Linked DNA regions of Coturnix japonica. The protein of the gene in region 1 purifies or fractionates together with the protein of each later gene. This does not show direct contact. Links are inferred from orthologs where the notes say so. Each region holds a gene or a part of one and is shown in the gene's direction. Other genes may lie near its edges.

Region 1 (4,241 bases):
TGATCTTCTAGGTCTTTTCCAACCTTGATAATTCTGTGATTCTGTGTAATATTCTCTTATGTGTTGCTGCCCTGTGACAGATGGCAGCAGAGGGGCTGTACGATAGAATGGCGTCTGACATGGTAGTATGGTGTGACACTAAATTCCACCATGTAGAGAAAATGGCACCCATTGACTTTCATTGCTGTTTGCTGAATGTTTTTGGGTACCAAACAGTAGCTGTGAGCACCATGAGGTGGTAGGTGATGTGTTTCAACAGTGATCCTATTGACATGAAAGAAAGACAAGCTACATTCCAGACAGTCACGTGCAGCAGTCACACCATGAAATGAAGAGTGCCTGAATCAGCTCATCTACATGATTTGGCTAATGCTCGTAACTGCGTTTGAAAAATGGTATTTCGTAGCTGAGAATTTGTGTTATTACAAGAATCACAGAATGACCCGGGTTGGAAGGGACCTCAAGGATCATGTAGTTCCAACCCCCCTGCTTGGCAGGGCCACCAAACATACACCTTTACTAGATCAGGTTGCCCAGGGCCCCGTCCAACCTGGCCTTGAACACCTCCAAGGACGGGGCATCCACAACCTCCCTGGGCAGCCTGTTCCAGGGCCTAACCACTCTCCTAGTGAAGAACTTCCCCCTAACATCCAACCTAAATCTTCCCTCTTTCAACTTAAAACCATTTCCCTGTGTCCTGCTATAGTCAGCCCTTTGTTATTGTGCTCTTTGTATCTGTTGTTTTTTACATGGAAATAGGGGCATTACTTTAAGAGCAACTTACATAGATACCTTCATATTACATTATGTTAGGCCATATCTGCTTTGTGAAGTGTCCTTATTTGCCCTATTACTTCAAAAACAGAAAGTTGGATTTTTAGAATCCTTCGATATTTCTAATCTTACTTTAGTGCTTGCTCTTCTTGGTGATGCTATTGAAGGCTGGTGTTTTCCCTTCCTTGTGGCCCGGAGCTCACGTTGAAGAAGTGAAACTACAGCTGCTTTGTAGCAGTGCTACTTCTTACCCTTGCTTACCAAAACATGAAAAATTACGTTTTGAAAACAATGTTCTTTCTTTTCCAGTAGGCTGGAAAATTTTGTTGAAAAAAAATGTTGAAAATTATGAAAGAAAAATAAAATGTTTTGGAAGATAAAATCAGTAATACTACCAAGGAATTTCCTCAGAAGGAAAGAAGAGCTATTGCGAATAATTGACAACGTGATAGCTCTTGAGAACTTAATATACCTACTAGGCTTGTCCACATCTCCTGAAACACATGGAACTTAAGTTTTATTCAGAATGGTTTGTTTCTTGGAAAAGTCTGTGTTTGGAGCAGAGGCAGGTGTGTTCTCCTGCTGTCCAGGATGGAGGAAAACAATGTCTGGTGACAGTAGCCATTCTTTCTTCCTGGAAAGAAGTGATCAATATGTTACGGTAACCATGTGTCTAGTCATTATTCAGTTTGATGAGAGTAGGGTTCATCTGAGTTGCAAGGCAATCTACTGTGGACTGGATCTCTAGCAGCAGGTGGCTTGGAAATGTTTGTGCATGTGATTACAGCAGCAGGTTTGAAGCTAACTTCTGGAATGTAACTGTTAGGATTAGCTAGGAAGGGCAGCAGGGTAAGGAAGTATCTACTTAAAATCAGTTCTTAGAAAATGGTAGGTTTTGCTACAGCTGCTGTTGTGGTATAATGTCACTGTCAGTGGTGGTTTCTGCTCCCTTCATAATTCCTATTTTGTTTCCTGTTATTCTGTTCTCCAGTTCCATCCCATTGTTTTCTTCATTCATGATTTGAAACCACTCTAGGCACTTCTGCTCCCCCACTACTGTTGGCTTGTAGTAAAGGTCTTAGTTTTGGTCTTTTTTGCCATCTGCTTACAGCTTTTTTGGCTGTTTGTTTTCCTTGTGGTGTGTTTGAAAGAGCAGTTCGTTCATATCTCTTTTTGGAATCATCATATTTACTTGTCTTTTGGGAGTGATTCTTCTAAGTAGCAAAAAACTTGTTTTGTAATGTCAGTTCATTTCTGTATATTGACAGGTGATATTGGAAACTATTACTATGGACAAGGGCATCCAATGAAACCTCATAGGATCCGAATGACACACAACTTGCTCCTAAATTATGGCTTGTACAGAAAAATGGAAATTTACGTGAGTATAAGCAATGGAATGTTTACTGAAGTATAAGCAATAGATTGTCCACTGATGTATTGGAAGTTGGCTTCAAGTATTCTTACACAGATAAACAGGTAGAAGTGGGAGTAGAAATAGAAAATGCTTAGTGTATTCAGTGTACTTTTACTTCAGATTGAAGTGCCTTTTAATAAGGAATGTTTTTTTATATATGTATATAAAATGTGTGTGGGTGTATATATGTTATAAATATATATATAACCACTGCTGTCCCTTTCTGGAAGGAGTGAAAAGCAGCGCCAGTAGAGGCTTTAATGGTATTTTTATGATTATGTGGGGGTGAGATTATGGTAACTGCACAATGAATTTAGTGGGTTCAAGCTATCAGAGTAATCCTTGCTTTGTGCAAAATACCAGTAGTAGTAGTTTCACTGTTCTCCCTTCAGAGCAGGTTAGATTTCTTTCAAGCTGTCTGTTTTAGTTAATTGTTAACTGGTTTTGCAGCAGTGCTCTAATTATTTCCATAACTTATTCTTCTTATCAGCGACCCCACAAAGCTACTGCTGAGGAAATGACCAAATACCATAGTGATGAATACATCAAATTCCTCAGATCAATAAGGCCTGACAATATGTCTGAGTACAGCAAGCAGATGCAAAGATGTAAGTGTCAATATTAAGTAAATTCTAAGTTTGTACGTCTGCTTCATTGGTTGTGGTGTTTAAACTTAAATATTCAGCAGTGTGATGTTACAAATAGTAGCTACATTAATTTTGTGTCTTTTAATAAAAAGCAGCTATGTTCAAATAAATATTCCTGACGTTTACGAAAGGACTTGCATGCAGAATGTCTGCTGGGTGCAAAATAATACTTTCTATAGACTTCATGCACCGGGTTAAACTTCAGCTGTTAAGCATTTGCAAAACTGGCTTAGAAATACCTTCTAATGCAAATTCTTTCTGAAGGAAAAAATAATGGCTTAAAGAATAGTAGTAAGATATTAAAATGTGTTGAAGTCAAGAAATCGAGTTGACTCTCTGGTTGGAGTGAGGTGGTGAAAATAGCACGTTATTCACGTTTTCTGTTAAGTAGTTTTTCAGACTTTAGGAGTAAGTTCAAATTACTGTCAGAAATACAGTTTAACACAGCTCTACCAATATATAATATGTGTTTGTAACTCTTTACAGTGCCTTATTCTCGATGTATTTTTCCAAGAAGCTGCACATTTATTAATATGATGTTAATCAACACTTGTTCTAAAGCAGACAAATGATTTAACTTATTAATGAGACAGCTTTCTATGGAAACAAAGAAACAAAACAAGCAAAAAAACCAGTTTGGAGTCATCTTAAATGGTAAAAACTGTGCCAACAGTTGTTTGATTACTAGGAGCTTGGGCAAACTTTATATTTGTTTCAGTGTTTAAAACTTAGCTTGACAGAAAAGGGGAGAGGGGGGTAAAAGTAGTTGAAATGCTAAATGAATTCTGCATTTTTATGCGCTACCCTTGCCTATAGCAATGCTATTAGGATTATGCTTTTGAAGAGTAATGTGTTTCTTGCACAGTTAATGTTGGAGAAGATTGTCCTGTTTTTGATGGCCTGTTTGAGTTCTGTCAGTTATCAACTGGAGGCTCTGTTGGTAAGTACAGATTGTTTGCCAGATATTTTGTAGCTTTATTATGTTTATGTCAGCTACGTAAACCTTCGGTAATATAGATCCTGAAGCAAATACAAGTTTGTTTTGCATAGCAACACAAAGATTAACAGTTATTTGATCTATCTCATATTTGATTATTTGTATATCATGAGATCTAGGATTAAGTGTGAGATTTAATGACTTAAAAATGAGATACTGTTTCCTTTAACAAATTTAAAGACCTTCAGAAGTTTCTGACTGTTTTGTTTCAATTTTGTGTGTGTCTTTCTACAGCTGGGGCGGTAAAATTGAACAGACAGCAGACAGACATGGCTGTAAATTGGGCTGGAGGACTTCACCATGCCAAGAAGTCAGAGGCATCTGGTTTTTGTTATGTCAATGATATTGTGCTTGCCATCCTTGAGTTACTGAAGTAAGTTTTATGGTAGAAAAAGACAAAAAAAAA
Region 2 (4,839 bases), on another chromosome or scaffold:
GAATAACAGATTTCATAATTATTCCAGAAACCTTTGTAATATTTTTTGCTCACAGATCTGGTCCAAATGCCTCTTCATAATGCAGATTGGTGTTCAGGCATTCTTTAATCATGAAAATGCAGCAGAACAGAAAAATGTTTGGGTGGTTTACTCCATGAAAACAGAAAGTCTATAAGCAGCTCATTACAACATTAAGCATCCACGTGCAGAAAAAAAGAAACAAGCTGCCAGAATTCTCCAGGTTATTTTAAATAGCCCATATGATCAGAAAATTGACACTTCGTGGAGATCCTCACTGAGGATTCATCACTTCTAGAACTGAAATGCAGCATGGAAAGATTGTTTTCACAGAGTGCAAAACAGAAAGAGTAGTTCCATTCAAAATGTGTTTTATTTTCTAGTAAGCATTAGCTTCACGTACAGCAGGTGAATAACTTTCTGTGCAAGACAAAAACTGAAGCGTGTACTGCAATTGAGTTCAGTGTTGTCTCCACACATCTTTTTTTCACCTTGTGACTGACTATAGTGCTTGCTTAAAGTTACGCTATGCTTATTTAGCACAGGAGTTGTATATATATATATATATATATATATAGACTAAGATAAGATCTCATGAAGTGCAATTCTAACAATAAAAAAACTACAAGTTCCAAGCTGTGAAGAGACTGGGTAGCCATTTTGGTGGTGCCAGCCATCTTGGAGCAGAATAGATTTAAATAGCTGAATTTCAAGAAATGACTGACATTTTGCAAAGTTGATAGTTTTAACGTAATCTTGGAAAAGGTCATCTACTCTAGTAGAATCAAAGAAAGAGTATGACAATATATCGTTTCGTGACATGCAAACATAAGAGGAAATAATTTCTGTTCCACATTAAAAGAACTCTGATCCTTGTTTGGCCTATAATGCAGCTGAAAGATTTGGGCATGAAGCTGTGTCAATGATCTTCTCTCATAGGATTTTTATCATTCAGAACCTCATTATGGTGGACAGTGCTAATTTTTGGGCTTCACACAAAGATGAGACAAGGTAGTTGAATGTATCAGAAGTGATTTGCAAGGGAAGGTGAGAAACACTGGTAACAGACAGTAAGGGTACAAGGCTCACAATCCATTCTACCTCAGAAGTAGTGCTGAACACAGGAGGCTTAGGAAGGAGAGATGGTGACAAGCATACATGGAAGTTTCCCACCATGATCTTATCTTGGCAATTTTGTTTTTCCAGTCAACAAAGAAGGGCTGCAGTGGCCAAACAGTGAGACAAAAGAAGGCTAAGGGGGAATGAATCCTTGAGGTTTAAAGTACCTCCTTGTCAACGTGACTGAGTCGTAGAATAAAAACGAGGGAAAATGGTAGCAACCTTAGGCTAGAGACAGTGTATCACTAGCAACAGGATCCCAGCCTTATGCAGAATGGACACCTTGCTGTTGCTGTGATTTACCATCACTGCCAAGATGGGACACAATGGGATTTTGACAGTTAAGAATCCATGCTGGTTACAGAACAGCAAGGCACCAAAATTCGTGAGCAACAGCGTGAAACAAAAGGACAGATACGTGCTAGGTTTGGGTGCGCAAAGGTCAGATGACACGGCAGGAGGATGCATCACGTACTCTGGTTAGTGACTCAGCCAGCCAACGCTCGGCACGGCGCAATGCCGGGAAGGAGAGAGCCCGCCGCGGAAGCGACGGGCAGGGAGCGGGCCGTGCTGAGGTAAGCAGCTCCTGCCAACAACACCCCCAGTCCCCGCCTGGATCTTCCCGCCTGGTCGCAGACGCGCCTCTCCCAGTTCTCCGTCCTGTCCCGTCCCGTCCCGTCCCGTCCCCTCCCCTCTCTGCAGCGCGCGGAAGCAGCAGCACGACTGTTAAAACCGTTACAGCTCCCACTTTCGAACTGATTCAAACTCAGCAGCACTGAGACGCGAGGCCCCTCCCCGCTCCCGTCGGACCCCTCGCCTCCCTCCCCTCCCCAGTCCCCGTGAGGCGGCGGCCGGAGCACCTCAAACTCCAGACCCGCTGCCCGCTCAGCTACACGGACGGGCAAAGAGGGCACAAAACCGCCAGCCCGGGCGGCAGCGCGAGAACAAAGAGCTCCCCCACCCCTCCTTCCCGCCAGCACGTGGGGCACGGACCCCGCCCCTCTCCCCGCCCCTCTCCGCCCCTGATTGGCTCGGGGCGCTCCGTCCGCGTCCGTCCAATCGGGGCGGCGCTCGGCTCTCGCCAATGAACGTGTTACCGATTGGGCCACTGTATTTGGCGCTCGGTCCGGGAGGGTGAATCCGGCAGCCGGAGGCAGGAGGGAAGAAGAGTCGGGGAGCGAAGCGGCTGTGGTGGCGGTGGCACGAGATTGGAGCGAGGGGACGGGTGAGCTGGACGGCAGCGGCAGCAGCACCACAACCACCGTACGGGCTGCGGGCCGGGAGCAGTTATTTATAACCGACTCCCTTTGTTATGGGGGGTGGGGAGGCAGACAGGGAGGGCGCGACCGCCTCGGTCCCGAGCAGCGCGCCGCGTCGCGCTTGAAGGAACGGGATGGGGTGGGGGGCGGCAGCGAGATTCGCGCCCGCTCTGCAGCCGTTGACAGCGGAGGGAGCGGCGCGGAGCCGACGGTGCCTTTTGTCTGAGTTGGCTCTGTCCATCCTGGCCGCGCCGCGCTCGGCGGAGCGGAGCCTTGGGCGGGGGGGGCGACTGGCGCCGTGCGGGAGAAAGAGCGGGTAGGAGCCGGCTGTTTCCTCTCCTCCCCGTTCCTGCCGGCCTCCTGTGGTGGCGGCTGCCTCTGGCACGGTTTCGCTGAGGGGTCGGCGGGGGGATCCGTGTGTTAAACGTACGCAAGGTGAGGTCTCGGTGAGTCCGAAACGCGAAGACAAGTCCGTTCTGTCCGCCTCAGCCCCCTCCGAGAGAGAAGCACGGTGCAGAAGTTGTTACGCGGCGGTAGCCCCCGCCCTGGGGTGCGAGTAGGTCCGCGGCAGCCCCATGTGCCCGCGGTGTCCCGGAAGCGGAGCGTTCCCACTCTCGCCCTCGCACGTTGCCGTCCCGCCGGCCAGTCTGCGACGGGGCTCTCCAGCCCCCGGCGAGTTTCACGGGCACCGAGTGCGGGAGAGCGGGGACGGCGCGGGAGTCAATCTGTCCGGCCAACTTCCTCGTCGGGAAGGGCGCTGCTCGGCTAACCGGCCCTCCAGAGTTCGGAGGGAGCTGGAACTGCTGAGTTGGAGACCTAATGTCGCAAAGCGCGGGTGTGTGGGGCGATCTCTGAAATCGGCATGTTTGGGGAGGTGTGAAAGGGACGGAGTTGTGCTGGAGCAACAGGCGTGTGTGTGATCAGACAAAGGTGATGAAATCAATGTATTGTAGCGCAACGCATGTGTATCTGGTGTTAAGTACGAACATCCAAAAATTATTAGGAATGGGCAGAAAGAAAAGCAGTCTCAGCATAATGTAGCAAAAATGGTATAATGAACCTGTACCTGGCTCAAGATACTTTTTCAAAGTTATGAAACAGTATATTTCATTGGAACTAGGGCCTTGGTTTTTTTCTCTGTTTGGTTTTTTGGTTTTGTTTTTGTTTGGTCTGTTTATTTGTTGCAGGATAGGTTTGTCTTTGTGCAAGTCGAGCAATTGCAGATCCAACCGTTCAGTACTTCAGCGAGACTTTACTGGTATTTTTAGTACACGATAAACTTCTAAACGGAGATTTCCTCATATACAAGTCCTTTCTCTCTTTTTCTCTTTTTCCTCTTTCCCCCTACCCCACCCCCCTTTTTTTCCATTATTTTTTAATTTATTATTATTATTTTTAGGGCTTGGCACATTCCGGTTCTTTGTGACTTGTAAAAATTAAAAGGTCATTCTTTGTTTGTCCCCAGTGTCTGTATCAAATTGAGAGTTCAGGGAATGTTTAATTGTGATAACAATAACGCATCTTCAGAAGGGTGAGTATTACTTGTCCACAGTGTATGGTAGCTATCCTTGCTTTATATTAGATCATAATAATATAGATAAGGCTTACAGTGTCTTTCAGAAAACACGGTTCTAGTACTTTAGGAGGTATTATTCAAAAGTTTTATGCAATAAAATACTTTTTTAGACATTCTAAAATATTACTCTGAAAGTGACATACACTGAAAATACTTATTGGCAGAAGAACATTAAAAGTCTTTGCTCAGTTTAAAATCAGATAAAGCAATAGTCTATAAGCTTAGGCTGGAGACTAGAAATTCAAAATTTTTTGCTTTCCACATGGTATTTTCTTCTACCTAGAATTTTCAATGAGTTGAAATATCGTGGGTGACTTTGTTGGAAATATGCCTTCTAATGGGTTTATATTTGTTCTATGATATGGCATTTGTAGGTGAGATGTAAATGTACTTCAGCTTATCTACAAGGAAACTTTGGCTTAGCAAGTAGGGAATTCTTGTAGTACATTAGTGAGTGTACTAATTGTATATATGGAGAGTGCAAACTAACTGCTGCTTTCTGTGAATCAACATACGTCAGAATGAGCTGCATGTCACATACGCCAACAGTGTACACAGAAGCTGGTGCGTTTCAGAGATCCTCTGAAAACTAGTCTAAAAAACAGACAAAACCTCTCCTTGTCACCATTCATTCACAAGAACTTTCTGCCTCTTTAGATATATACATCATATATACATTTTATTAACTTCACAGCTGTATTGTTAAAGTTGAAGAACAATTTTAAAAGACGATGTTATCTTCATTTGATGAAACAGGGAAAGTTGATTTTCAAAATGGCTGTAATACTGACAGAAGGCAAATTTAACAGAGGCTTGCCCTGTGTTGTGCTTGAACAAAAGTATTGTGGAAAACTTTAGTGATGGCTG
Region 3 (4,081 bases), on another chromosome or scaffold:
AAGGATTGGGTTGCTGCCCACATATTACAGGAAGAAAAACATTAGTGTTTGATGATACAGCTCATTTTGCAGTTACTTCATTCCAACTGTAGCAGATGTTCTGCAGAACACTCTCTGCGCATACTTTTTGCTGGAGATGTCGCATTTCTCAGCAGTTCCTCTGTAAACATAGACAGGAAATCCAAATATGAAGCATGTATTGGTGGTACACCTGGATTCGTATGCAGTGGATAGTTGTGGGCCGGAAAATGGAGTTTGAAGGCAATAATGTGGAATGAGTTCTCAGTCCAACTGTCATTAGGAAGGAACTCGTAATTTATGATACTAAGTTTAAAAATAGTGGCAGTGGTGTTCGGGGCCTGCAGGTTAACACAGAGTGTCATTCTGCAGAGAACAGAAGGCAAAGAGGAACAACCAATGGGTGCCGACACTGCCCAACAGCTCTCATCACCTGGATGCAGTACCATGCTCAACAACCATTAACAGAAATCGCATGGGCAGGGACAAGAAGAGGACTTTCCCTCTGTGGTAAGACAGCTTCCTTCTTCAGAAAAGTGGAAACAGTTACTAACATGACACACTGCAGGGGGCTGCTCTGATAGGCAGGTGGCTGCCAGAGCCCTGTAACTTTGTGTTGAGGATTATGTCTAATAATTGAAAAGTTGAAGTATAGGGATGGTAACAATAAAAAGCACCTTCCTTCTATGCATGCCAGATGTATCATTTTCTATTCCACATGCCCTATTGATGTTCTTTGTTCTAGCTTTGATGACCATGACCCAGCAGTCATCCATGAGAACGCATCCCAGCCGGAGGTTCTGGTTCCAATCAGGCTTGATATGGAAATTGATGGACAGAAACTCAGAGATGCATTTACATGGAACATGAATGGTATGTAGGAGGGAGAGTTTCCTGAGACTAGAAAAATACAGTTGCATTCATTACCAAATATGAAGAGAGAACAAGCAAGTCCTTGCCCCATATAGGAAAATCTTTTAAGCTCTTCTACAGTGATGTGTCCTATTCGGCTCTCATGGCTCTTAGCAGATCCCTAACACTTCCATGGATTGCAGTAATTCCTGAATACCTGTAATCTGAAAAGTTAGATGGGATCTTAATTTTGTGTATTCCGTAAGTGGCAGACATTGGTGGCTGAGAAAAATGTCTTCTTGTTCTGTATCAGAAAAGCTGATGACCCCAGAAATGTTCTCAGAGATTCTTTGTGATGACCTGGATTTGAATCCTCTGACCTTTGTCCCTGCTATTGCCTCTGCCATCCGACAACAGATTGAATCATACCCAACTGACAGCATCCTAGAGGATCAGTCAGACCAGCGTGTTATTATTAAGGTAAATTACAGGGAGGCAGTAGAATGAGAGCTGAACTATACTTGCATTTCTCTAGTTTTGTGTTCTTGGTTTTTTGGATTTTTTGTTTATTTATTTATGGGGGAGAGATAGCACAAAGACTTCCCTCAAAACCAAGGAGTTCCTAATTCCAATCCTTTATCCAGGTTAGATTTTGTCCTTGAGAAATGAATGACTCGTTTCTTCCCTTGTCTCCAGCTTAACATCCACGTAGGGAACATCTCCCTTGTAGACCAGTTTGAATGGGACATGTCAGAGAAGGAGAATTCACCAGAGAAGTTTGCCTTGAAGCTGTGCTCAGAGCTTGGCCTGGGTGGGGAGTTTGTCACTACTATTGCCTACAGCATCCGGGGACAGCTGAGCTGGCATCAGAAGACATACGCCTTCAGGTACAGAACTGCCATCTTTCTGGATGGGTGTAGATGTGTTTTCTTACTTCATGGCTGTTAACGTCAACGAATCTTGAACTGCTGACACAGTGTAGAAAGCTTAATTTGAAATTGGTTCTTATAGATTGTATACTATATAGTTCTTAAAAGACTGTTTTATTTCTTGGACATCCTTTTGTTTCATCAATTGGTGATCCCCTAAGCTGGTATTATCTAAGGACCACTGCTTGTGCAAGGTTAGCAGCTCACATGGTTTCATTTCTTCTCACTGTTCTGGACAGTTGTCTGTCTTGAAGTGGCAAGTGAGTCACACGTCATGGGACGGTGAGGTGTTACTGGTGAGCTGTAAGAGACACTGTGCTGCTTGTATGAAATGGATGGAGTCCTCTGGATAACAGAAATGTTAGTAGTGGATCTAACCATAGCACTCTAAATGTACGTGACACATTTGCAGTCATGTCTTCCTCAGGCACAGCCCCTTGTTGCTGGCTGCCTGACTGGTGAAGAAATGAAGAGTTTTGATCTGGAGCCTGGTGTGTTTTGTTCTGTAGATCCTGGTGCCTCTCAACCAGCTTGTGCTTTTGCTCAGAGATCTTTTTGTGGTGGGTGTAGTGCATCCCAGGGCCAAATATCAATGAAATCAGTTTTTGCCACAGAGTGAAAGGCTTTTCTAATTAACACTGTCAGAAAACCTTGTGCCTTCTTCTAATGTCTGCACATGATGAGCCTTGGATACGTTTCTGTCTCATCAGCTCTGTCTGACCTGGGCCAAGCTTTGGTCTTCTGAGCTAAGCCTGACTGACACTGTAGCTCTCTGCCCTGGATGAAGTTGAGGTTGGTTTGATCACAGGCAGTTCTCTTAGCTGGAACGCAACAGTGTCAGGTTTGATTAGTCAGCTTTGTAACTTGCCTCCTAATATTAATTATTTCCAGTTGTGCTGTGCAGAGTTCTGTGGCAATGTACTGCACAGATGTTATCCTCCATATGTTGCTTAGTCTGCAGTCTGTTAAGTATTCCTTAATGTGTGCTGGTGGGTTTTTTGACCTCAGGCCATGGTGACACTTGAGGAAGTTTGAGAGTTCAGCAAGTGATGTATTGCAGAGGTGGGAGAAAGGTGCTACTGGCGCTGGTTTTGTGGAGGTCAGCTCAAGGAAGCTTGCAGCTAATCCCTAGTGTGGTTCACATGGAAGTTAAACTCTTCTCTAGGAGCAGGGAGTTGACTTCTCCCTTGCTATCCATGACAGCAGATTGATATTTGCAGATCTGTGCTGTGGAACAGCTAGAGCAGTGGGTATGTGTTGCTGAGGATGGGTGGGAGCTTGGAGGGCAGTCAGTGGCAATATGATGCCTCTAGTACTGCTTCTTCTTCCCTGCTGCTTTACACATCTACTTTATATGTGTCCCTGGTTGCTGAAGAGTGCTTTGTTTTTGGGGTGGCTCAAATAGGTAGATTTCAGGCCTTCTTTAGGCTGTTGCCATTTTTTAAGGGGGTGATTTAAAAACGAGGAAGGAAAGCACAGAAATAAAGTACAATAGCTGTGAACCATTCAGAGGCAGAAAGCACCTAATTTAAGACTTGCTTTTTTTGTCACAGTACAAATATGCCCTCCTCTTCCCTCTCTTCTTTTTGCAAAGGAGTACTTTTGAAACCTTCCTGTGATTAATGATGTTTGGGTTTTGTGGTTGGGTAGTTCCTGAATTCCCAAACCACAGCAGTGATGGTTGCTCCAAAGTTATTCCGCCGATGTAAGGAAAGATTCTGCTGTAGATGTATCAAAAGAACCTTAAAATCTCCAGGAGTTGGAGATTTGGGAAGTCATGTGTCTCTTAGTCATCAGAGGGAGAGCTGAAACTGTCCTTCAGTTGATGAACTCCAGGGCAATTATTTCAGCTGGTTTCTCTCTGCAAAACAAGGGGAGCCTGAGAGCCCAATGGAAGGGACAGGATTGGAAGTGGCTGGTAGCTGATTCAGTTGTGATTTTCAGGGGATGGTGTACTAAACATTTCCTGCCTCAGTGCTGAGATGTTTCTAAGGGCAGCACGCAGTTTTATACCCAGACTTCTGCCTTCAAAACCAGAATGACGTTGTATTGAACATCAAACCTGCATGCCTATGGGGTTGTTCTTTTCAGAGGAACACCTCTCCCTCTTGGCTGCAGTGCTGTGCCCCAGTAGAGGCAGTGCAGTGCTCCACTGAATGCCACAGCTGACAGTGCCTTTCAGTCATTCTGCCAGCACCTCTTGTTTAACAGATAAAGGAGGGGGCATTGTCCTATGATGAAGTTTAGGAGATGAGGGAGGATTTTTCATTTTCTCTATTTCT
Region 4 (4,081 bases), on another chromosome or scaffold:
GGTTCCCTTGACTACAAAGGAGCTGATGCAAACCTTTCCGTAGCCAGCTCTTGAGTTTCTGGAACTTGGCATGCCTTCTGCCAGCTCAGTCTCCTTTGGCCCTCCACTTTCCTCCTCCCCCCCAAGAGACTTGTGTTACTAAGCTTCCTATGTCCTGGCAGTCCTGCGCAGCCTCTGTGGCTGGCTGGAAACGTTGCACTTGATGCCTCTAAATTGATCACAGCTGGGCTAGTTGGGCTCTGCTGGTTCTGAGAAGGTGGAATTAAGAGGCAAAAGTGACTCCCTCTCAGAGTTTGGAAAGGAAGATGGCGTGACAGAAGCAAACTCGGGAGATGCTCCTTACTCTGGAAGAAACTGGCGTTTCTTTGATGCATCAGCTGAGCTGCAGCCATGCTGCAGTGCTCTGATATTTACTGATAGAAGGACAAGGAGTCAGAGCACTCCTGGTTCTTCTGGAGTATCACAGTAGAAGGGTGGATGGAGGGAGGAAGGGGTAATCACATTGACAGCCCTGCTCTGCTTCTGTTAGTACATGCTGGTACCTATAGAGAAAGGAATTTCACTATCGTGACAGAGTTGGTAGGTGAAGGAGGGGATGCCCTGGAGACTCGCAGGAGAGAGGGTTCTCCAGGGTTTCTAAATAAACAGAAAGAATACAGAGGAGTTCCTGTGGTTATCTGGCAGTTCTTCCCCCAGATAAATCAGATAAAGGAATAGTGAAGGCCGTGCATTCTGTTAGATTCTTTTTGGTAATGGGATAAGTGACTCATAGATGTGGTAAGGATATTACATGTATGAATAGTGGGTTCAGTAGACAGTCATGTCCTTGGATAATGTTATAAATAGTCAGGAGCACCACTACACTCTCTAATGGCTGGAAAATAGCAATTGATCATTTTGTACTATTTTAGACTTTTCTAACAAATAATATGTTGTGACAGGATGATGCAGGGACTTCCTTATGCAGACAGTGCAGCTTCTCCTGCTTTAATCAGATTTCCTCCACTCATAAATAAAAATCAATGGACTGGTCCTCTCCTGCAGCCCCTGGGGTCTGTGTGTGAGCAGTGATCACTTCAGGTAAGGTGTCACAACCGCAGGTAGGCTTTGCAGCTGGAGTTTGGGTAAGCTGGGTCAGAGATGCTAAGGGAGAAGAGCTCAGGTTAAAAACAGTTCTTTGTTGTTTGTTTTTTTTTCCCTGTAGGTGTGTTGATTGTAGGAGAAATGGAGTTTAAAATAAATCAGGGAGTTTAGTTTTACTGAGAAAAAGCAGTGAATCAGACCTCAGCTACAGAGCAGGAGGGGCAGCCTGCTAGTGAGGAGCAGACACTGTGTTCCTTACGGACTGCTGTGGTGATGGAGGCAGAGTGCAGTACACCACGCTCAGATTCTGGTAGGGGTGTTTCCTCCTATGAACTTTTCATGTTTATGTTTCTGTGCTGGAATTGTCCTTTGCCAAGCACTGGGAGAAAGCAAGGTTTTCATCTGAAGGGATTTAGAGAACTCAAACAATGTTGTACCACGCTGACAGGTGGCAAACAGGATGTGGAAGGTTTATAGGTGTACACAGGGGTGGCAGGAGGAAGCCCCAGTCCTTGAGGCACAGCAGAGTGAGTGACACTGCTGGGAAAAGCCCTGCTGATGGAGCCTGCTGTCACTGGCAGAGCAAGGTGCCAGAAGACAGCTCTTAGGCCCGAAATGATACACTGGTGAAATGTTGCAGAAAGCATGCTCAAAATCTGACTGGAGCTGAGCTCTCATGAACGACTGGCTCTTCGTCCCTGTGGTCTGGGCAGGGGCCAGTGCTGGAACCAGTACAGACGATAACATAGCTGGCAATGAAGAGCAATTATTTTTCCCTTTATCTTCCTGTGACTTGTACTTTTGAACAGTAACAAGATTTAGCGCGTATGTTCTTGTTCTCTTGGTCACTGACACCCGCTCTTCCTGGCAAAAGCAGAGAGTGTATTGTGAGTCAGGCCCCTGGGACTGCCCCCTCTGTGGCTGCTTGGCTGTTGCGTATTTCCAGTTATGATTTTTCTTGCAAGGAACAAATGAGTCCGGTCCACATGCATGTTAGTTAGTAAATGATGCATTTCTTCCTGTGAGAGCAGCTTTCACAGCTTCCTGCTGCCCTGCTAATGCTATCTGGCACACATCTGAATTACTGTGAAAAAGCCAGGGCTCATCAAAGCAGTGTGCAAAATCTTCCTCCGCACAAGCACAGAGAGTGTTTTGGTCTCCAGTAATTTCATTTCCTTTAATTTCTCCTGTTCCAGCTGGGCCGATGCACAAACAGTGTGGTTAAGTATGAACTGATGCGCCCGTCTAACAAAGTCCAGCTTTTGGTGCTGTGTGAGGACCATAGAGGGAGGATGGTGAAACACCAGTGTTGCCCTGGCTGTGGATACTTTTGCACTGCAGTAAGTCCGTGCTCTCAATCTAGGGAAGGGGGTACTTGTTGCAGTAGCTGGAAGAGGTGAAGGTGGAGATTTACCCAAAGGGGTTTACTGACTTCCTGGCATAAGCTCCACCTCATTCCACAGCACATCAGATGGCATTTTCAACAGTAATGTGTTTGAAAGTAGCTACAATGCTCACCTGTAACTTCCTGGAGACCCCGAGGGGTGTCACCGAAGGGGTGGAATTCATACCTTTGGAATTTTTTTGGAACATTGTTTGTTTTTTTTTTTTCTTCCTCTGTGCAGTCAATCACATCACAAATGGTGTTAGCCTTAGTCTGCATACAGGACAGGGGTTCTGTCCCCCGTGCCGCACAGTGAGGTGGGGGAACCAGAGTGATGGCACTGGAACAAGGCAATGTTTGAGATCTCCTCCTCCTTCTCTACCACTGAGGTTTTAATAGCATTGGCCCAGTGCTTTGAGCCATCGTTGTCCTTGTTTCCTTGCTGGTGAAACACTCATTGAGAGCCTCCCGGGGTGATAGGGTGGGTTAATTGTCTGATGTTAGCGTTCTTAAAGATGACTCGATGAAAGGTATTAGAGTAGTCTCAACATTATTATAACTGTAATAAATGGTACCATCCCGAGTTTTCATGCTGAGTCAAAGATCATTTGAAAGATATAATCCTCAGAACGCTTGAAGACATTTTGCAATGCTGAAATAGTTAATAAGATGTCTTGGGAGGACTGTGAATCCAGGAGAAGAGTGGGTTTAAACTAACTTTTCCTTAATGCTGTTACATCTCTGAGTGACCTCATAGTTCATAAAGGTGAATCTGGCAGTGTTTGTGTTATCAGTCACTAGTAACACAGAGCACCGTAGGGCTTTAGGTAGCACTGATATCACAGAACAGTGAGTTCTGGGGTGCAGTTCAACTTGGAGGACTTTGCTGGAAAGAGAAGATAATTTGTAGAAAGGTGGCTCACATCTGTCAGCAGATGGGGTTAAAGAGCATACAGGGCTGGTCCAAACAGAGGAGTTGCATGCTTTGGGTAACACTGGGGTTGACAGCTGATGTAATTGTATCATTGTTGTTCCTTGAATGGTTTGTGTGCAGATGTGTTTGGTAGTTTTAGTGCTGACTGGTTTGAAGTTTTCTTTTCCAGTATTGGGAGCGTCCTTACAGTACACTGGCACTTCTAGGAACGTAAGCAAGAACCTCAAGTGTTAGAGCTGGAAAATGGGACTCTGTGGTTCTGTTTCCCACGTGCAATTAAAAAACTTGCTTTGCAGTTCCTAACCAAGTGAGTTTTTTCCCATTACCTTGGTTTTGTTCTCTTCTAAAGAAGTGGCAGTGCTTGCTTACTGTACTGGAAGCGCGAGGGACAAGAGAGGTCGTGAATGATGTGTTTAAGAGCTCTGCGGATGAAGCATGTGGAAGGGGTAAGGCTCGTAGTGACCAAGGTGTGAATATCTTCTCTGTAATTTTTTTAGGGCACTTTCATGGAGTGTCAGCCTGAGAGCAGCATCTCCCACCGTTTCCACAAGAACTGTGCCTCCCAGGTCAACGACACGAGCTACTGCCCACACTGCGGGGAAGACGCCTCCAAGGCAAAGGAGGTGACAATAGCAAAAGCAGACACGACTTCCACGGTGTCACTGGCCTATGAGCAGCAG
Region 5 (4,081 bases), on another chromosome or scaffold:
AATGTATAAATTACAGTGACCTGCTGAGGCCAAGCTGTCTCAAACTTCCATAAATCGATTTGATATTTTTGTTGTCTTAATCTATGGGCTAAGTTCACATCTGGCTTTGTCTGAGTTTTATTAACTGTCCCTGTATGTACAGACTTGTGAGAGTTTGAGCTTTAGAGGAAGGAGGAATCTCAGGAGAAGATGCAGGTTAATGACTTGCTCAGAAAAGTGGCACTGGCAAGTGCTTAAAGCTCCTTTCTAAAATAATCCTCTAGCTTCTCCTGTCAGCTTGAATTCATGGTTACTGCATTAATAGAGTGTCTTTTTAATATTAAGTCTTTCATTACTTCATCTTATAATTAGCAAGGTTCTATATATATCTTTTTCCCCCAGGGTTCTTTTGCTTTCAGCAAGTAAAAATAGTAGATAACATTTAAAAAAAAAATCTTAGATTCATCAAGATATGAAAATAATTCTTCCTTAAAGGCACTATAGGATACTTGCATTGCTTTCTGTTCTACAATGAACACAAGTGGTAACATGTGAAAGTTGAAGAGCTGTGTACATCAAATACTTAACATAGTAAATGTGATCTCTTGAAGGAGATTGCAATTGGGAACGTCTTTCTTTGGAGTCTGTCTAAATTACTGTATTTGAAAGTGTTTAGAGCAGTGACTGACACATAATTCAGAGCAGTTGCACTTTCTCACCTAAGTTTTATTTCATGATTATTTTTTTTTTAAACAATGTCACTGTCAGAATAGAAGCTTGCGTTGAGACTGCAAAAACAAGTTATAGAATACCCAGAAATCTGGATTACCAATGTAATTTGCATCTGTTATTTCTGTAATGGATAGTTCTTTGTAGGTGTTATTTAAGAATTATCTTTGTCTTTTTAGGAACAGAAAAGGAAAGAGAAGTTAGAAAAGAAGAGGGAGATGATGTTAAAATCTGCCAAGGTAAGATCAGCCAGCTGTTTTATGTAACTTTTCTCTAATTAAAGTCTGTTAAACTGCCATATCAATTTGGATCTTTTAGTCAAGGTAAAGAAGTTAGACTTGCCCAGTATTTAATTTGAAGATACATCTATTTATAAAAACTTCTAAAGATATAAGATTTAGTCAATGATTTTGCTGGGGCCTGTCCTGTTCAGTATCTTTATTGATGATCTAGATGAGGGCATTCTCAATAAGTTTGCAGATGACACCAAAATGACAGAAATAGTCCATCTGCTTGGTAGAAAGAAGGCCCTACAGAGGGACCTGGACAGGCTGGATTGCTGGGCTGAGGTCCATGGATCATCCTCTTCTCCTGCATTACTAGTGATAGGATCAGAGGGAATGGGCCTAAAGTTGTATCAGGGGAGATTCAGGTTGGACACTGGGAAATTATAATTCTCTGAGAGGGTGGTCAGGCACTGGAATGGGCTGCCCACAGACAGAATCACTATCTCTGGAGTTGTTAAAGAAACATTTTGATGTTGTACTGAGGGACATGGTTTAGTGGAAAGTTTTGATGACAAGTGGACAGTTGGACTGCATGATCTTAAAGATTTTACCAACCTTTGTGATTCCATGATTCTAATATAGCGTGGTATTTAGCTGTGATAAAACTGTTTAAACTGCACTTAAAAAAAATCACATAGTATAGACTGTCTTACTAAGGAGACTTTGACTAATTTTTATTAAAGGGAGTGGAATAGATTTGTCTTGAATTCTGGTATTTTGTTAAAGAGTGATTACTTAACTTGGTCAACCGAGAGCCTAAGTGCTGGCATATGAAAGCAAAGATGAAAAAGTCTGGTGCTTACCTGCTTTTGCTGTTTCTTAAAATAGTAATCGTGTTTCAAAAAGCTTTCAAAAATAACGGCTTGAGTCTGATGCCATATTCTTTTGTGTTGAGATAGATTATGAAACTCTTCCTGTGTTTATTTTCTAGGGTCAAAATCCAGCTGATGGGAAAGAAGATAAATCAGGTAACTGGTAAAAGTTTAAAAAAAAAAAGTCTTTGTTTTGTCAGTACCAGTGTTTTTTAGTTCCTTCAAAATTTACTGTGTTGTATAAACTCAAATCTTATGTTACAGCTACAAAGAAGAAGAGAGGGAGAGATGACGGAACATACAACATTTCAGAAATTATGTCCAAAGAGGTAGGCCGTATCTGTCAATGGATTTGTTTGAACTCCTGTAGCATAATTTTAAGTGATGTGATGATCACTGACATCTGTGTTTTGTAGCAATGCATCCTTATTCATTGCCATCAGAGGCTGACTAACAGCCAACAGTAGTCTGTAAGATATTTATTCTAGCAAATACCTTCTTAACAAGCAGACCTATAGAATCAAAATACTTATCTTAAAGTCTTTGGAGAGGTAGATGAGAAGAGAATACATCTTCCAGTTGAATTTCCAGTCCTCTTGTAATTGAAATTTGCTGACGGGTGGCCTTGTTTAGAGTCAATGATGGATTAATTATTATGTATGGAAATTTATTTAAAGTATGTCCAGATTCTTGAATTAAAAGATCTTTTGGAATACAAATTGTTGTAGCCTTTCAGATTTAGAAGTACTTAAGTATAAGGTTTAAGTATAAGGTTTTTTGTTTTTTTCCCAGGAAATCTTATCTGTGGCTAAAAAAAGTAAAGTGGAAAATCAGGTAAGTTGGCAAACATTACTACAATTTAAACATTTAGAGCCTGAAAGGAGGGAGGGCGGGCTTTTAAAACTTTTCCTGTAGGTAAATCTTTGCTCGCTGTTTAAGTCCTGTGCTGTCTCTTCTCCAAAGTAGTAAAGAGTACTGCCTATAAGGTATTGAGATTTTGCATGGATACATCTGCTTTTATGGTGACATCAACCCTTAAAATAGATTCTACAGTTCAGTTGACAGTTACTAAAAACAAACCTTTGTGTCAGGGGCTGTTTTGCTTCAGTACACTGTAACAGACTAGCACAGACTTACCACAGTTGTAGCATCTGGTAGAAATACATCTTAGCTGGGCTTTATTAATGCATTCTACTTGTCACTTATTCCTTGAACATTCTTCTATAGGATGAAAGCTCTGCTGACAACCTGTGTCCAGAAGACCTGCAGAAAAATGGGGACTCAAATAGTGTCATTAAGGATAGATTGTGTCAAGCTGTACGACACAGTGCCAAGCAATTCCTTGATCCAGTGCGGAAATTTAACGGACAACCAGTGCCTTTTCAGCAGCCAAAGATTTTTACTGGAGGTGTCATGAGGTGGTACCAAGTGGAAGGCATGGAGTGGCTAAGGGTATGGAGCAGCCGTTTACAAAAATGCGTTTGTTGCCAACTGGGAACTGAAACAGAGAAAGAGAAATGAAAAATCTGAGTATAGTTGATACAGGAAAGATGAGGAAGGAAAGTTCCTTGTTGTTTCTTTTTGTTTGTTTGTTTTTAATTATATGGGAATCTGATGTTATTAACAGTTGTTAATTCTGTAGATATGAATTTAAAGTCTGGGGAGGATATTTGGGTTTGTAAAGATTTCACGAGGCTTTAATTTTTCTTCTCCATCTATTTTCTTTTTCAACTCAACTGTTTTTTCAGCCTCTCCTTTGAAGTGCTTTATGAAAGTCTATTCATACTTAACTTGAGGGGAGACCTTGCTGGTTTTCCTCTGTCAAGGACATGAGTAGCCCGTAGGTCTTTAGACTCAACCACCTCGCAGGCCTGACACAAGTGACAGTTTTCAATTCTCTCTGCAATTTGAACACTTAACTAGCAGTATTAACATGATGGTTTAAAAATGTTTTGTCTTCAATATTTGAAATCAAATGCAGGAGAAACATGCAATAATAATAATAAAAAAAAAGCCCATGCATTTATTTTTTTTCCTCCCAGTTTTTCCTTGGAAGCCAAATGAGGACAACTTTGCTTTTTTATTATCAGATCAAATTAGAACTAACTTTCTGCTTCTGATTTAATATTTCTCCTGGGTTTTCTTTAATTCTTCCAACAAGCACATGTATCCTGTTCTAATAGGCTTTGACTCATCTCACGCATGATTACCACTAGACTATCTTGTCTGGAGGAATAAACAGCTCCCATTTTGTTCAATTCCCTCACTTATGAC
Region 6 (3,732 bases), on another chromosome or scaffold:
GCTGCCACCCCATGGCGATGCTGGGCGACCCTCTTCCACGCACAGCTGGGGTTCAGCCTGCACCCCACCAACCCTCTGTCTCCTCTTTTTTATTCCCCAGAGAAACTGAAGGACTCAGTGCTGCCGACGCCAAAGCCCCTCCAGCACCCGCTGCACCCACCGCCTGCCTCACACCACCCCGTGCCCAGCCTCATCCCCAACCACAACGTCTTCCCTCTGCCTGGCAGCAGCGCGGCCACGGCGCTGCTCATCCACCGCACCAACGAGGAGGAGAAATGGTTGGCCCGGCAGCGCCGCCTGCGCCAGGAGAAGGAGGACCGCCAGTCCCAGGTGTCGGAGTTCCGCCAGCAGGTGCTGGAGCAGCACCTCGACATGGGGCGCACCCCGAGCCAGCCTGAGCCCGAGCACCGACCTGACAACCCCAGGTAGGGCTGCACACCCCAAGTGGGTTTATCCTCTCTGCCAGGATGCAGGATGCCCCTTTCCATGCTCCCTCTGCCCATTTTCCTGCTGGTTTCATAGGATTTTCCCATCTCGCTGCCATTTTCGCCACCCTGCGAGCTGGCTCTGAGCAGGACGAGCTCCCCCCAAGCTCAGCCTTCATGCTTTCCCCCCCTGCACCAGGCGAGCTGTGTGTCCGGTGCCAGCAGGTCCCCGCCGTGCTGTGCCAGCCGGGCCGGCTGTGCTGGCAGCGCCGTGCGGTGCCACTGCCTGACATCTGCGCGGCAGCAGGCGGTGAGCCCGGGAGGTGGCTGGGGGCCAACGGCGAGCAGCCAGGTGCTGCCGAGGCAGCGACATCGCTAATTGCAGCTTCCCCTGTGCAGCCTGAAAGCTGCTTCTCTGATAGAGGGGATGCGCAGTAGGATGAGGCGAGGGGGGCAGCCCGTGCCCACAGCTCTGCATTGACGCGGGTTTTCTCGCTCTGTTGCTGAGCGCTCTGGTGGTGTGGGCTTATCCAGTCGGCTCTGCTGCCGGCTCCCATTGTTATTTTTGGATATCAAGGGGATTAGCGCGGCTAATCGAGTATAACAAGGAGCGGATTGCGGGGCGGCACAATGGCAAGTGCCTGCTGCAGCCGCCCGCCCCCATCCACACATCCCTCCCCAAAGCAGGGAGGAGACATCAAGGTCACCCTGAGCACAGCAGTGAGTGTGTGGGGGGGTGTTCTTACAGCCTCATCTCCCTCCTATCCCATCTCCATCTTCATCCCATCCTCATCTCATTCCTACTCCTATCCCAGTCCCTTACTCAGCATCCTGCCCAGCCCCTTGTAAGTGCTGCCAGAGACCCCCAGATGGTGGGGAGGGATGGGGACAGGGACCCTGCTCTCCACTGGGGCAGGTGATGCCCTCAGCCCGCAGTGCTGGTGCCTGCAGGAGCTCTCCATAGAGCGATGGCAGCTGTGACCCGACTGGCAGCACTGAGCCCTCCCTGCTCTGCTGCACAGAGGTCTGGAGCGCTCGAGTGGAAAAGCGTTAAACGCTCCTCTCCGGAGCATGAAATATTTATCCTGCTAACAGGTTTGCTCCTTCCCTGGGTGTTTAGGGAAGGTTTCACTGTAGTGTCACTCTGTGTGCAGTGAGAGCCTGTGCCATCCCGGTCCCACAGAGGGGTCCCCTGCCCTGTATCCCGTTCCCAACCCTCCCCCCTCCACCACGTGCATCCAACAGATCATTTCTCCATAGATCCAGCTTGCAGAGAGGATTTGCTTCTCCTCTCCATCCCTCTCCTCTCCTCTCCTTCCTGCAGGTCGGGACCAAGCCGCCACGAGCCGAGCATCCGCGAGCCGGGGCAGCACTTTGGTGGTCCACCACCACTCATCTCCCCCAAACCCCAGCACCACCCCATTGCCACATCCCTCTGGAACCCCGTCTCCCTGATGGACAGCCCCTCGGAGCCCCCCCGGCGCCTCCCTGAGCCTCACATCCTCCACGGCCACCCGGCCCCCTTCGAGCCCAGCCGGCAGGGCATCCCGCTGGTGAAGGTGGAGAGAGTCTTCTGCCCCGAGAAGCTGGAAGACAGCTCAAGGAAAAGGGATGCGCTGGACAAATACCCCGTGCCACGGGAACCCAGCACTGCAGAGCACACAGGCTTCACCCACACACCATTCCTGGCCGAGCTGGAGAAATCCACGCAAAGCATCCTGAGCCAGCAGAGACCCCCAGCCACCCCTTTTGGGGAGGTGACCAAGCCCAGCTCGCCCTACAGACCCCCCCAGCCCCGCACGCAGGACCCCATGTACATCTACGACGAGTTTGTGCAGCAGCACCGCAGGCTGGTCAGCAAACTGGACCTGGAGGAGCGACGACGACGGGAGGCCCGGGAGAAAGGTGAGGAGGGGGTTTGGGACCCCCCACCAGGACCCCAATGGGGGAGGCCAGGAGGGGGCTCCCCAGTGATGCCATCAGCTCAACCCGCAGGCATTCGATGCAAGTGCTCCCGAAAGCCAAATCAGAGCGGCTTGGTAAATCCTCCGCTCTAGACATGCCCAATTAATAAATGATGAACTGAGGCTAATAAGCTGGCTTTAAATATTAATAGGGCCGTGCGAGCGGGGATGTGAACAGCAGCGAGGAGGAGATGGAGCGAGGTGTGGGGGCAGCACTGCCATCCCCCCTTGTGCCCCATTAACCTGCTGAGCCCGGTGCTCCCCATCAAGGCAGGCAGTGGTGTCCCCAGTGTCCTTGGCACAAGGTGCTCCTGGGCTGTGTCCCTCCCTGGTGCCCCAGCAGCAAAGGGAAGAGTCAGCCCTCCCACTACAAGCAGCCCACAGAGCCATAATTCTTCCAGTCCCCCTGCAAAGCCATCCCAAAACAGAGCTGAGCTGGGATGCTGTGGTGAGCATCCCCACCCAGCAGAATCCCAACCATTCCTGGGGTCCCAGCAGCTTCCCAGGGTCCCAGCAGTATATATGGGGGGGTCCCAGCATGGCCCCCCTTGGCTGATATCAGCTTCTCCCCATCCCCAGGTTATTACTACGACCTGGATGACTCCTGTGATGACAGCGACGAGGAGGAGGTGCGGGCACATCTCCGCTGTGTGGCCGAGCAGCCCCCGCTGAAGCTGGACACATCCTCTGAGGTAAATGGGCACAGCACTCGGCTGGATGTGGGGCTGAAGTGGGACTGGGGATGGAAATGGCAATGGCAATGGGGTTGAGGATGGTGACGGGATGGAGATAGAGCTGAGGTTGAAGGTGGAGATGGGGATGGAGATAGGAATGGAAATGGACATGGGATGGGGATGGGAACAGGGATGGGAACAGGTGCTGTGCTGCTGTGGGGCTGACCCAGCTCTGCTCTCCCCTCACGCCCCAGAAGCTGGAGTTCCTGCAGCTCTTCGGCCTCACCACGCAGCAGCAGAAGGAGGAATTACTGAGCCAGAAGCGGCGCAAACGCCGGCGGATGCTGCGGGAGCGCAGCCCCTCTCCACCCACGGTGCAGAACAAGCGCCGCACGCCATCCCCACGCCTCCCCCTCTCCACCCGCTACAGCCCCGACGAGATGAACAACAGCCCCAACTTCGAGGAGAAGAAACGCTTCCTCACCATCTTCAACCTCACGCACATCAGCGCCGAAAAGAGGAAAGGTAACGCCATGCCCCGTGCTGGGGTGGGGGTCCCCGTCCCCGTGCCGCGGGGCTGCCTGGTGCCCGGCTGAGCAGAGGCTACACTAAACCTCAGCTTCCCATGCGGCAGACAAGGAGAAGCTGGTGGAGATGCTGCAGGCCATG
Region 7 (4,562 bases), on another chromosome or scaffold:
GATGCCACACGTGGCTTGTAGTTAACTTGACATTACCTCTTTGAACTTCACTTTAACTAATAAACCAGCCTGTGACTTACTGATTGCCGCTGTTCTACCGCGAGCAGGTTACAAACACCTGGATCTATCTCAGCAATAGCAGCATGAGAACAGTCTTGTTTCCCTGGCCAAGCATTCTCTTTCCACACCGCACATGCTTATGACGGCAGCACGGCAGCTCACACCTCCACACCACACGTTGGGCCACGACCCCGGCTGCAGTGCAGGGGGGGACACTGTGATCCCAGCAGCTGATCCCAGGCCTGGGGAGAGGCAGGTCCGACAGGAACACGATGTAAAAGGGAAACGGCCGCTGGGGTGAACCCAGCCCCAAAGCGGGTTAGTGCCAGACGTCAGTAGGAGGAAGAAAGCAGCGAGTGGGGAAACTGCCCTTCTGTTCTGAGCGCAGGATAAAGGGACACAACAGGAAAAAGGAAAAGGAAAGGAGAGAGCCGGGAGCGCTAACCCGGGAACGAGGCAGGGGAGGCACGATCCGACCTGTTGTTCCGCACATCTCACACCGGGGCCGCATGGGCCGAGCCGGCGGGGCGTCCCGGTGCGGGGCAGAGGAGCCAGGGATGGAGGCGGGATGGAGGCAGCGCAGCCCGGAACAAAAGGCACCGACCGCCGCCGCCCGGACACAACTTCGCCCCGATCGCGGAGCGGAGCTGAGCTGAGCTGAGCTGAGCGCCCCGCACCTCACCTCACCACCCCGCCCCGCCGCCCCCCGCCCCAGCCGGCGCCGCTCTCCCGCACCTCCCTCCTCACCCCCCCCCACGCGTCCCCCTCTCGGGGCCCCGCCGAGCAAACCCGACCCGTTGGCTTCCCCCGGCCGAGGGGCGGCCCGGCCCCGCGCACCTCACGGTGACTCCGTCCCCGCGGCGCCTCCCGGCCGCGCGCAGCTCCGTGTTCGTGCGGGCGGTGCCGCGCCGGGTCCCGCTCCGGGCAGCGCGCGCCGCGCCCGCAACAAGCACCGAGTCCGGGCGCCGCGCGGACACGCCCCGCGCGCGCTGAGGGGCGGGGCGACCCCGCCCACCCCGGCAGCCCATTGGTTGGGGAGGGGAGAGGGGGCGGGGCCAGGCCGAGGGCGCGCGCCGGGATCGTCGAGAGGGAAGACTACGCATCCCGGCGTGCACCGCGCGGTGCGGCTCCCGGCTTTAAAGCAGAATGCCAAAGGTAATGGTGTCCTTCCGCCCGCGCGGAAAAAGTAGTCCCGGGGTGTAGTTTGGCCTCCTGCTCTGAGGCGGTGGAAAGGGAAGGGGACGGGGCAGGAAGCGCTGCTGGGGTCGGCTGTTGCGCTTCCAGCCCGGGTTCCCTTTGGGGCCTCTCCGGGTAGAGCTGTGGTGAGGGGCGGAGGGATCCGCGCCGGTGGAGGCGCGGTGATGCGGCTCTGTGAGGGACGCGGCGGCGGCGGGGCCGAGGGGACGCTCAGTGCCGGGCCGAGCCCCGCAGGTCAGTGCAGCGGGACGGGCCCGCTCTGCCCGCTCACCGCACGGGGCGGCCCGGGGCGCTGTGTGGAGCCGGGGGCGGCGTGACGGGACCGGCCGGCACGGCCTGCACGCGCCTTCGGGCCTGCCGACGGCTGCGGCTCGCGTGGGGCTGAGCGCTCGGCGCGTGTCTTCGTGCTCATCGCGTCTGTTGTTGGTGATCACACGGCGGTTCCCCGCGGCTCCATCGTTCTCATTACCCGTTACGTTATTGCATCCCTCAGTAGTCCCTTATGGAGCGGGGTGCTCGGCCTGCTGCCCTCCAGTTCTGTTAAAATAGAGAAACTACAGTGTGTGACTTAACTCCACTGTTCCCAGTATAAATCTAGTCTTTCTATTCTACCTGCATGTGTTGAGGTCCGTAGCTGACAGGTGCCTGTTCTGTGGGTGAGGGTGAGCCCCGTTTCCAAAGGAATGCTGTAGCTACAGTGCGGCCTTCAGCTCTACATGTGTCAGACTGTGACTTACACAAACTCCTGTGCTTTGCAGGGTTTCTAAACGCCTTCCATCTTCTGTTCTTGCAGGACACGTTCCCTCGGTGGCCACGGCTGTGTCTGATGGCGAGGGCTGCACAGAGAGCTGACGTGTGCTGAGCTGCCCAGAGCTCCCGGTCTGCTGAGTGGAAGCAGTGAGGGTGAGCTGAGTTACTGCTCTATACTCACCTGGCAGAGTCACTCCTCCCGTCCCGCTGTAAGCTGGTACAGGTTGCTGCACTGTTGCTCCTCATCCTGCCCTCCCCAGGCTGTGGCTGGAGGATCTTTACTCCCTCCCACCTGAAGCATGTGTGGAACTGTGCTGGTTTTTGTAGCACTGAGGCATACGAGGCATATCTTTTTCTTCCTTTAATTCTTAAAGCAGCTGAAGCTGTCTGATAATTCTGTCTCGTTCTGGTTTTTATTCCTCTGGTGTTGAATGCAGATGAATTGTAGGCAGTTCAGTGCTGTCATGGGTGAAGCCTGCTCTCGTTCCATTGGTGTCTTCAAGTTCATATCTTTAGTTATTCCGTGGTATCCAAGGGATTGTTTGTGGCCAAAAGAAACTTGTGATAATGTATTAATAATCACCTTTCAAAATAAGTCATCTGCAGTATTTGTTAGGACTTATGGGTGTTGATGTGCCTGGTTTGGGCTCTGTATTGTTCTGAAGGAGCCAGAGCCAATGAGTCTTAGCTGCTTTAATGAGATGGGTTCTCGGTGTTAAATGAATGGTGGTCAATAGAGTTAGCTCTGTTTTGTGGTTCCTCTATGGATAACTCGCATGGAATTAGCTGGTGTTTTTGTGGATTATTTAGTTTGGAGTTTACTTGGTTGCAGTTTGAAAGCCATGGGGGGCCATTGTTATTTGTTGATCCAAAGCTGGATTTGATTGTGTGAAATGAAGAGCATCCCACAGTAGTGCTCAGGAGACGTGGTGTCTGGCGTCACGATTGGGAAAGTCAAGTGTCAGTCTCCATAGCTGGGGGAGCAGAGGAGAGAAAGAGCTGTGACACAACAGGTTCTGGTAATAGCATGGGAATATACAACAGAAAAACAGCATCAAGCCAAGTATTGGAAACAGTAAACTGTGAATCTTCTTTCACGCTTCTAACTCTGGAGTTTGCTAACATTGCATTTCTGCTATGGAGGTGGGTGGGGAAGCGTTCCCAGCATGGGGTGAACGGTGCACCAAGGTAGGAGGAAGTTTGTGTATTAAATATGTTTTAGTGGTGCTTTTAAATACTACTACAAACCTTTTTCCTTGGTGCAGTGGTTCTTTTCTACTTCCCCACAGCCTATTGTTCTTTAAGAACACACATCTCCTTGTATTTGTTTTCACATATCCAGGGTGTTGGCAAGGACATCTGCTGCTGCCAAAAGGGTGGAAATTCAGGAATTAATCTAGGAAGATATTCCATGTGAAGCTACCACTGCATTGGATGCATGAGTGTTTTGGAGTCTCAAGGTTTAGAGACTATTTTTAAGTGCTCTTAAGTTCTTCTGTAGGGTGGGTATTGTCTGGCTGAAATAGAGCTGAGACAACCAGTATTTGCCTTTATCCTCTCTTTCACTACATGGGAATGAATTTGTCTCTATTCTTATGCTCAGTTTAATTAAGGTAGAAAAGTAAGTATTATGCAATTCATATGAGATATGAAGAAGCAATGTCATAGATTGTTTTCTAACAAGCTCTTGTTAGAAAAATAATCAGAATCCGGGGGATTTCGAGCTCTCTATTTCCAGACTCGTGGGAAAGAATCTCATCTTTCATTAGCAGAATAAATGTTTAGCTTGACATCAGAAAGAAAAAAAACTGAAAACGTCAAGTCAGCTTATGAGATAATCCTAATTCTTTTTCTGGTATTCAGATTTCCTTCCACTTATGGCTATTTTAGGGCCCTCAGTTACTGGAATCGTTTCCAGTGTTCTTCATTTTTGACATCGCTTGAGTTGTAGGGGGATAGAAGCTGAATCTCAGGCCACGGAGTTAGAAATGTAGGTCAGTATTGGCAGTGCTACTTGTATCCTTCCTTCCCTGCCAGCTGCTGTGCTTACTTCATGCTTTGCTGAACCATTTCACCTTGTGTCAACTAAAAACATCAACACAAAGCTATTGTTTCTTTAGCATGCTGATACACAGACATTGTCTAATGACCAGAGCTCTGCCCATCTGAAGATGCTGTGGTTGAAGTAGCTGGTAGTTCAATAGGTTTGGGCTAGTCTCTCCTATGGCAGTGGAAAACTGCTGTTTGGTCCTTCTAGGCCTGGTTTCTCTTCACTTGGGCAGGTGATCTCAAAGCACTCAATAACAGGCTGCTAACAAGGAGAGTCCAACTAGCAAGAACTGTTGGTGTCTGGGGGTGGCTCATGTAAATTCATACGAGTGTTTACCATTGGTAGAAATGGGAGGTTTCATATGCACTCCTTATTTTTATAGGCTCTGGTGTTTGAGCTCTCTGAGTCTTTACAGCTATGTAGCTGAGATGGTAGAAGATACCCAGCTTCAGTTCTTTCCTGCTCTCCCAAAGGAAAGAGTTGCAGGGTTAGAAAAACTGTAAGT

What was found.
Region 2: the proteins of HDAC2 (region 1) and EZH2 purify together in Homo sapiens (affinity purification with western blotting; 5 studies listed by BioGRID, with this or other methods). This does not show direct contact. The link is inferred for Coturnix japonica from reciprocal best matches to the Homo sapiens genes HDAC2 and EZH2.
Region 3: the proteins of HDAC2 (region 1) and SMARCB1 purify together in Homo sapiens (affinity purification with mass spectrometry; 5 studies listed by BioGRID and IntAct, with this or other methods). This does not show direct contact. The link is inferred for Coturnix japonica from reciprocal best matches to the Homo sapiens genes HDAC2 and SMARCB1.
Region 4: the proteins of HDAC2 (region 1) and EHMT1 purify together in Homo sapiens (affinity purification with mass spectrometry; 3 studies listed by BioGRID and IntAct, with this or other methods). This does not show direct contact. The link is inferred for Coturnix japonica from reciprocal best matches to the Homo sapiens genes HDAC2 and EHMT1.
Region 5: the proteins of HDAC2 (region 1) and HELLS purify together in Homo sapiens (affinity purification with western blotting; 3 studies listed by BioGRID, with this or other methods). This does not show direct contact. The link is inferred for Coturnix japonica from reciprocal best matches to the Homo sapiens genes HDAC2 and HELLS.
Region 6: the proteins of HDAC2 (region 1) and GSE1 purify together in Homo sapiens (affinity purification with mass spectrometry; 5 studies listed by BioGRID and IntAct, with this or other methods). This does not show direct contact. The link is inferred for Coturnix japonica from reciprocal best matches to the Homo sapiens genes HDAC2 and GSE1.
Region 7: the proteins of HDAC2 (region 1) and HMG20A purify together in Homo sapiens (affinity purification with mass spectrometry; 6 studies listed by BioGRID and IntAct, counting the BioPlex papers as one, with this or other methods). This does not show direct contact. The link is inferred for Coturnix japonica from reciprocal best matches to the Homo sapiens genes HDAC2 and HMG20A.

Annotation. Positions count from the first base shown.
Region 1 is NC_029518.1:58,974,045-58,978,285, forward strand, and holds the start of HDAC2 (histone deacetylase 2), read left to right. Parts: upstream 1-1,441; coding exon 1,442-1,472; intron 1,473-2,042; coding exon 2,043-2,155; intron 2,156-2,681; coding exon 2,682-2,799; intron 2,800-3,703; coding exon 3,704-3,778; intron 3,779-4,069; coding exon 4,070-4,208; intron 4,209-4,241. UniProt on the Homo sapiens protein: Histone deacetylase that catalyzes the deacetylation of lysine residues on the N-terminal part of the core histones (H2A, H2B, H3 and H4).
Region 2 is NC_029517.1:75,450,390-75,455,228, reverse strand, and holds the start of EZH2 (histone-lysine N-methyltransferase EZH2), read left to right. Parts: upstream 1-1,603; 5' UTR 1,604-1,653; coding exon 1,654-1,712; intron 1,713-2,188; exon of another isoform or gene 2,189-2,400; intron 2,401-4,839. UniProt on the Homo sapiens protein: Polycomb group (PcG) protein. Catalytic subunit of the PRC2/EED-EZH2 complex, which methylates 'Lys-9' (H3K9me) and 'Lys-27' (H3K27me) of histone H3, leading to transcriptional repression of the affected target gene.
Region 3 is NC_029530.1:7,053,063-7,057,143, forward strand, and holds part of SMARCB1 (SWI/SNF-related matrix-associated actin-dependent regulator of chromatin subfamily B member 1), read left to right. Parts: intron 1-390; coding exon 391-528; intron 529-763; coding exon 764-891; intron 892-1,183; coding exon 1,184-1,350; intron 1,351-1,566; coding exon 1,567-1,757; intron 1,758-4,081.
Region 4 is NC_029532.1:1,222,273-1,226,353, forward strand, and holds part of EHMT1 (histone-lysine N-methyltransferase EHMT1), read left to right. Parts: intron 1-2,279; coding exon 2,280-2,423; intron 2,424-3,898; coding exon 3,899-4,081. UniProt on the Homo sapiens protein: Histone methyltransferase that specifically mono- and dimethylates 'Lys-9' of histone H3 (H3K9me1 and H3K9me2, respectively) in euchromatin.
Region 5 is NC_029521.1:14,021,088-14,025,168, reverse strand, and holds part of HELLS (lymphoid-specific helicase), read left to right. Parts: intron 1-887; coding exon 888-947; intron 948-1,926; coding exon 1,927-1,963; intron 1,964-2,071; coding exon 2,072-2,136; intron 2,137-2,599; coding exon 2,600-2,641; intron 2,642-3,034; coding exon 3,035-3,259; intron 3,260-4,081. UniProt on the Homo sapiens protein: Plays an essential role in normal development and survival. Involved in regulation of the expansion or survival of lymphoid cells. Required for de novo or maintenance DNA methylation. May control silencing of the imprinted CDKN1C gene through DNA methylation.
Region 6 is NC_029526.1:15,701,880-15,705,611, reverse strand, and holds part of GSE1 (genetic suppressor element 1), read left to right. Parts: intron 1-100; coding exon 101-425; intron 426-1,749; coding exon 1,750-2,330; intron 2,331-2,968; coding exon 2,969-3,081; intron 3,082-3,317; coding exon 3,318-3,588; intron 3,589-3,682; coding exon 3,683-3,732.
Region 7 is NC_029525.1:2,279,089-2,283,650, reverse strand, and holds the start of HMG20A (high mobility group protein 20A), read left to right. Parts: upstream 1-1,364; 5' UTR 1,365-1,491; intron 1,492-2,050; 5' UTR 2,051-2,160; intron 2,161-4,562. UniProt on the Homo sapiens protein: Plays a role in neuronal differentiation as chromatin-associated protein. Acts as inhibitor of HMG20B. Overcomes the repressive effects of the neuronal silencer REST and induces the activation of neuronal-specific genes.